Sus scrofa: one gene and its partner. The protein of the gene in region 1 interacts with the protein of each later gene in a biochemical or structural test. Links are inferred from orthologs where the notes say so. Each region holds a gene or a part of one and is shown in the gene's direction. Other genes may lie near its edges.

What was found.
Region 2: the proteins of CRY2 (region 1) and FBXL3 form a complex in vitro, tested with the Homo sapiens proteins (2 studies listed by BioGRID, with this or other methods). The link is inferred for Sus scrofa from reciprocal best matches to the Homo sapiens genes CRY2 and FBXL3.

The regions. Positions count from the first base shown.
Region 1 is NC_010444.4:16,618,069-16,621,815, reverse strand, and holds the start of CRY2 (cryptochrome-2), read left to right. Parts: upstream 1-1,435; 5' UTR 1,436-1,494; coding exon 1,495-1,712; intron 1,713-3,747. UniProt on the Homo sapiens protein: Transcriptional repressor which forms a core component of the circadian clock.
Region 2 is NC_010453.5:49,149,149-49,152,895, reverse strand, and holds the start of FBXL3 (F-box/LRR-repeat protein 3), read left to right. Parts: upstream 1-1,515; 5' UTR 1,516-2,223; intron 2,224-3,747. UniProt on the Homo sapiens protein: Substrate-recognition component of the SCF(FBXL3) E3 ubiquitin ligase complex involved in circadian rhythm function. Plays a key role in the maintenance of both the speed and the robustness of the circadian clock oscillation.

The DNA.
Region 1 (3,747 bases):
CACTGTGGTTTAGACAGTTGTGCCAATTAGTGCCACTCACTTGCGGATTAAATTGCTAACTTCCTTCATTGCTCATTCCCAAATTCAGGAAGGGTGCCACCTAGAGCCAAATTGAGACGGCCTCTCCATTTGATAATGCCAAAGCTCCAGGCTAGCTTAGCCCACCATCAACACATCAGTGGGGGTGTTTACAGGCTTCTCCTATCATTCACTCATTCAGTCAATCAGCAAGCCCTGTGCTCGACTCCAGAAGAGGGCTCCACCTGGCTCTCTTGGGGACGCGTGGGGAATATCCTCCACATCTCTGAACCCCACACAGACTCCAGTTCAGTCCTTTACACTCAGAGTTACCCCTAAGTCTATGACAGAACTAAAAGAAAAATTCATGTGATGGCTTTTTTTTTTCCCTCTTGCTTTTTAGAGCATATCTGCAGAGTTTGGAGGTTCCCAGGCTAGGAGCTGAATCGGATCTACTGCTAGCCACAGCAACTCAGGATCTGAGCCGCGTCTGCAGCCTACATCACAGTTCACAGCAACACCAGATCTTAACCCACTGAGCAAGCCCAGGGATCAAACCCTCATCCTCTTGGATACTAGTCGGGTTCATTACCGCTGAGCCACAAACTGGGAATTCCAATGATGACCTAATTACAATCTCAACCCACATTCTCCACAATTCCAGTCCCTAATCCCAACCCCTCTACTGCAGCACATCAGGGCCCACACTTTGGACTCTACTACTTGTAAATGCCAAGTTGCTCAACGCTGACAGAGGTGTAGTATTGTGGATAAAAGCAGAAACTTCAGATTCTGAATAATCCTGGTAGAAGTATTAGCTGTATGATATTGAGCATGTTACTCAACCTGCAGCAGCCTCGGTTTTCTTTGTCGGTAAAATGAAAACAGCTCTTTCACTAGGGTTTGTTGAAAGAATGCAACTCGTCTGAGTTTACAGCAGTAAAGGAGACAGCAGCGTAAGGGTATTATCACGTTGGTTGGCATCTAATGGAAGCTGTATTAGAATGCTGTAATGATGTATGTATAGAGTGTGGTAGATGATTATATTGATGACGAAGATGATGTAGGACAGCCGGTGGTCTGTCCTTTTAAGTCATTTGCTGGAGTCACAGCAACCCTCGCCAGCCCACACAGCTTCCAGCGCCAGGCCCTAAAAAAGGAAGCTGAGCTCCGCCGTTCCTCGGACTTGGTCCACGCCCAGACCTCCTTGGGGACCGCCAGCCTGCGTCACTAGCCCAGCCCTCCGGCTCCTCCCGGCAGGGCCCACACATGGTGGGAACGTGAGGAGGCGGGGCCAGACATGGTGCCTCTAACCAATCGCCCGGCAGGAGGCGCCCAGCCAATAGCAGAGGCGCTCCAGGGCCTGAGGGCGGGGCTCCAAAGAGTAGCGGCGCGTCATAGGTCACTGGGCCAGCTGGGGGCCGGGCTCGCGGCGCCGACGGGGGCGGAGCGGCCGCAGTCAGAGCAGTCCAGGCAATGATGGCGGCGGCTGTGGCGACCGCTGCGGCGTCCTCCCCGGCTCCCGCTGCCGGCGCGGAAGGCGCCTCTTCGGTGCACTGGTTCCGCAAGGGGCTGCGGCTCCACGACAACCCGGCGCTGCTGGCGGCGGTTCGCGGGGCGCACTGCGTGCGCTGTGTTTACATCCTCGACCCTTGGTTCGCGGCCTCCTCTTCAGTCGGGATCAACCGGTGGAGGTGAGGGGGCCCCGGGCGGGTTTGCGGGTCCGGGGAGCGCAGTCTAGCCTCTGAGGCACGTACCCTAAGAGGGGGGAGGCTCTGGCCCCAGTCCCCTCTGCTGAAAGCCCCCGACCTGAAAGAGATGGGGCAGGGAGGCGCAGCTGAGTCTCCAGTGGGGAGAAGCCGCGACGTGGGTAGCAATTAGTCCCATAGTTAGGGCTTGGGTGGGCCAGGGCTCAACCTCTGGCACGGCGCGTTCTCACTGTGTTATCCCTTTTGGTCCTCACGACGTCCCCGTGAAACAAAAATCATGATCCTCATTGTACCGATGAGACTCTGGAGTCTTAGAGATACAAAGTTGACCTGCCCAAGGACTTGCAGCCGGCGAGTGGCAGAACAGGGACTCCTGGTCTAGGGTTCTTAGGGTTGTGCTCAGGGAGGGGAGGACGGGAGCTATTGCGGTATGAGGGCCGGGACAGGTTTCTGAAATAGCACGGCAGACACCTGCATTCTTCAAGAGCGCTCCTGAAGGTCGTCTTAAGCTTAAGCCTCTGGTTTGTGTGAATTCATTTTTTCACCTATCCTGTCTTCCTTCCACCAAGATCATCCAGTCTCTGGAGGTGTCTAGAGACTCTGACTTAGCATTAGGTAGGGCAGGTGCCTTTGCTCCTTTATTGTAAATAAAAGAACATGCTCTCAAGGGCACGTTCATTGAGAGGCACTCTGTGTCCTGGGCTAGAGAGCAGACAGCAGTACTTAACCTATTTTGGAGAATTCCCTCAGCAGCTATGGGCTTGCTAAGGAAAAAAGCAGGAGGGGGGAGGAAGAAGAAAAAGAAACAAAGAGTCCCTTACTTCCTCCTCTTCTCTTGAGATTGATTTTAAAGGACAGTTGAGCCTGTAGATTAGACTCTTGTCAGCTGATGTGCTAAGATTTGGGAGCAGGCAAGCTGTGATACCAAGGGGCCCTCTTTGATGACTCCCAGGATCATGGGAAAAGTTTAACAGGTAGTTGATGTGTTTTCTCCATAACCAGTGTTTAAAACAAAGGTGTTCTGAGACATTGTGTACCCGTCTCTCTTTAACAAGTCTGGCAGTCGTCCTCTAGTTTGTTTGCATTGTTCTGGAGGTGTTTGCTTGTGGCCTTGTTGCACTGAGGGGCAGAGTTATTCCCAGGATACGCTGGCTCCCCATTCTTTCCTCTCCAAGGTGTGTGCCCTGCTAGGAGAGTGAGTGCTTCTAGCAGTGGGTCTATTAAATGCCCCCCTCCTGCCCCATTTATATGGAGGGAACAGCTAAAGATAGTTCTGTGGAGAGCCTGCCCACACAGTTTTCAGTCTGCTCTATTACTCGGCCCTTGCTCCAGTTTCTCTAGATAGGAGGTTGGGCTGACAAACATCCTCAAATGACCAGCCATCCCTAGTGTGGACTTAGCTTGGACTAAGCCTCAGACTTTGCCCCTCTCCTGATGGCAGTGTGCCAGTCAGAGCAGAGTAATTAGACTCCAGACTACTTGTTTGTTACATTGTCAAGGAGTTTCTTCTTTTATGGGATTTGAGGAATGTGGCATAAAATTGCCTGTTCCTTTGCAGTAGTGGAGATTAAAAATCAACAACAGGTGGTCCCATTGTGGCTCGGTGGTTAAGGATCCCTGGCTTCGCTCAGTGGGTTGAGGATCCAGCATTGCCGTCAGCTGTGGTGTAGGTCACAGATGCGGCTCGGATCTGGCATTGCTGTGGCTATGGCTTAGGCTGGCAGTTACAGCTCCTATTTGACCCCTAGCCTGGGAACCTCCAAATGCCGCAAGCGTGGCCCTAAAAAGACAAAAAAAAAAAAACCAACAACAAAACCTCTGTTGCTTATTAAACTCAGATTCTCTAGAAACTAGGTATTTAGAGATTTTTGTGGGTCACCCTTTTGTAATTGTGCTGTTGAGTGAGTAAAAGAAAAAGAATGTGGCAGCTCAGATGCCTATATCAAATCCTGAAGTCAGAGGCTGTGTAGGAATGCAGATGTTAATTGAGCGTTTAATGAGCACCTAATATCTGCCAGGC
Region 2 (3,747 bases), on another chromosome or scaffold:
GTTAACGATCCGGTGTTGCCGTGAGCTGTGGTGTAGGTTGCAGACTCGGCTTGGATTCGGCGTTGCTGTGGCTCTGGCGTAGGCCGGCAGCTGTAGCTCTGATTCGACCCCCAGTCTGGGAACATCCATATGCTGAGGGTGTGGCCCTAAAAAAAAAAAAAAAAAAAAGACCAAACGAAGAAAGGGATACATTTGGAGTGTGAAAGTTTTAATGTGATATATTAATATATACTGGTTATGTTTGCTGATTTGGTTTAATGTGGTTTGCTGATCATTTATTCTGTTAACATCCCTTTAAATAAATGGACCTGTATTTTCTTGTTTTTCTTCCTCTAATAATTATCACTGCCTGTCTTCCTATTGTCCTTTATCATCCAGTCACAGAGGCACCTAAACAATGTTGCAGTGCAGGTACAGCCACATTATTTTGTTTCTAGAAACTTCGTGCAGTTTGACTTGCTGATCAGACAGCCAAGCCCTAACAGAACAGCGGCATTTCCTCCCTTCCCCCCATTGAAGAGTACCATAAATTTTACACAAGGCTTCCTAGCTCAATCTGGGGAGGGGGGAGTCATAGAAGAGCGGGCATCACAGTCTTCCAGTCTCCTACACATGGGTCAGATATTCAAAAAGACATATTTGGATGGAAAACTACTTGCTTTATTTTCGAAGGAGAGAGGATGCATGACTCACGTTATGATTTTGCAACTAAGGACAGTTCTAACTTTAAGAAAACCTAGTATTCAAAAATTAAAACTTTAAAACAAACTAGGTAGCAGTTACACACATATCTCTGTTTACCAAAGGTTTCACCAGAGTTTTAAGCAGACATCTAGTCCTTTACACTTTCCTCATTGTGTTTCAGAAAGCTATTTATAAACTTCAGGAGTCTATTTACTTTATAAAGCTGTTTTTGTTGTTGTTTTTTCAGGGGCGGGCCCGCGGCATAGGGAAGTTCCCAGGCTAAGGGTCCAACCCGAGCTGCCACTGCTGGTCTACACCACAGCCACAGTAACCCCAGATAGCAGCAAGGGCTGCGACCTACACGCAGCTTACCACATCGCGGAATCCTTAACCCACTGAGCAGGCCAGGGGTGGAACCCGAGGGCTCATGGAAACTAGTCGGGTTCGAGTTACCGCTGAGCAACAGGGGAATTCCCTAAAGGCGATTGTTAAACAGTAATAACCCTGATGACAAAAATCATTTTTAGGAAAATTGAAAAAATAAAAATACTTTAAAATTTATAAATCATCATCATCAAAATCATCTGTAATCCCAACGTTAACACTGTCATCACTTTGCTTTAATTTCCCGCAGTTTATGAAAACACCGTATGTGTACACGATGTATATTATTATGACATACCCGTTAAGGGATACAAGGCGTGTATCATTAGAGCCCGTATTTTACCCACTTGGGTTACGCGGGGCGGGCGTGGCCTTCTGAGGCCCCGCCTGGCGCGCGGAGGTGTGTCAACTGCAGCAGCTGCTGTTTATCCCCCGAGCCCGGAACCAGCTGCTGGGCTAAGGCCGGCCCTAAAGACTCTCGCTCCTTTCTTCTTGCTGCTCCACCTCCTCAAACTTTCCGCTTTCCACCGTTGAAAGTCTCCTGGGCATCTAGCTGGCTCCAGCCCTCCCACATTCGCTGCAAGACGAAAAACCCTCTAAAAGCCGCAGTCTCATCAGAGAGAGGAAAGCAGCCGACACTCCGCCCGGAACCAGAAGGACGAAGCACCGAGGCGGGCGGGGTGGCGCGCGCTCCCGCTTGGGCGCGGCCCCCTCCAGCCCCCGACCCCGCCCTCCGCGGACGCGCCGCGGCGGACACGCGCCCGCCCCCCTCGACGGAGACGCGCCGGGGGAAGCGCGCGGCCGTCAGTCCGGGCGCCATTTTGGACTCGGTGTCTGGGCCCGCGGTGCAGGGGTAACTACGCGGGGCTCGCAGCTCGCTGAAGGCGGCTCTTGAGGGGACTGGGGGTCCCGGCAGAAGCACGCAGGCCGCGCGGGACTGAGAAGAGAGGCTTTTCCCTCGGCCGTCAGAGCCGCAAAGGTGGAGCCGAGTTGGCGCCCGCCCCGGGACCAGCGCCTCGGATGCGAGCGGAGCGCGGGGGGCGGCGGAGGCGGGAGCGCGAGGCGCGGGGCCCCGGGGGCCTCATGTGAGAGCCACGGGACCAGCCGCCCCCGGAGCCCGGGGTGCTGTGTTGGGGAAGCCGCCCCTGGCAGCAGGTAACGTTGGAGGGCCGGGGCCTTCGGACCTTGGCCCGCGCCGGGGCGGGCCGACAGGGAGAGGGGGTCCCGGGCGCGCGCCGGCCGCCCCTCGGGAGCGCGGGGCGGGGCGCGGCGCCCGGGCGGTGGAGCCTGCTCGGGGGCGTTGCCCCGTGTCTGCTTCAAAACAAGTCAAAAAGGCGTGGTGTGTGTGCGGCGGCCGCTTGCAGCCTTCCCGCGACAGCGCCGCCCCTGCCGTCGGCTTTGTTACCCTCGGCGGGGGCTGGGGACCGGCACCGTGGAGCTCTTGTTCTGCCAGGCTCTTCCCGGTGTCTGTTACGGCCGTGCTTGTAGCGTGAGAAAAGAGACTTTAAGGTGTCAAAACAGACTGCCCTGGGTAGGGCGCAGGAGAAATGTCTGGGAAAGCCTATTTTCGGGAGTGGCGCGGGAGGAGGGGACACCCCTGCGCGCGTCCCCGGGTGGAAAACTTGGTCAACTTGTGATGGGCTGCTTCCCGCCTGCTATGAGCGAGAGCAGCCCTTTCAGGTGGGATTGCAGACATGGAACAGGAGGCAACCCATTAAATGATGGGCCTGCACCTCCAAGCTAAGAGATGAGATGACTGTTATTTTCTGATCCTGTCCATTGCGGCCCAGATCTTTCAGAGTCTTCCTATCCCTGAAATCTTTACAAAAATGCCGTCAATTCCCAATTATCTACAAATGACCGCTAAACAGATTTTCACTACCACACTCTCTGATACCATTTATTTCTGAGTTAGTCTCTGCACTGTTTTATGTTTTACTCTTGTATTTCAGCCAAAGAATGCATACTAATTTTGATATTATGAAAGACTTTTTAGAGCTAAATACAAAAGGGCTTTTAAAATCACTGCAAGTGCAGGGTGCTAAAAGTGCCTAATACAATGAGGGACACATGGCTGAGTGTTCTCTTAGGCTCTTCATTTGATGAACAAGTTGACTGCTTCTTTCAGAGACTCCGGAAATGTGAGGAGTTAATTCTGTAACTCCCTGTGCTGCCCGACTAGGCCAGAAACTGTTAGTTCGCCTTTTTTTTTTTTTTTTTTTTTGTCTTTTTAGAGCCACACCCACAGCATATGGAAGTTCCCAGGCCAGGGGTTGAATCAGCTACAGCTGCCAGCCTACACCACAGCCACAGCAACGCAGGATCCAAACCACGTCTGCGACCTGCACCTTAGCTCATGACATCACCCTATAGTTAACCCAGTGAGCGGAGGCCAGTCATGGAACCCTCATCCTCATGGTTCCTAATGGAATTTGTTTCCACTGAACCACAATGGCAACTCCTTAGTTTACTTTTTGATGCTTCTTAGTAGCATCAGTCCCTCACCAAACACTTTTAGTGGCCGAAGTGGCATTAGTTGTTTGGAGCCGGGAAAAGTTGTAGTTTGAAGTGAACTCCCAGAGCCGTAAAGAGGCCAAGTATGCTAGGTGCTCTACAGAGGTGTAGGTGCTCCACAGAGTCTCTTAGACATTGATGGCGCAGCTTCTCTTCTGCACTCCT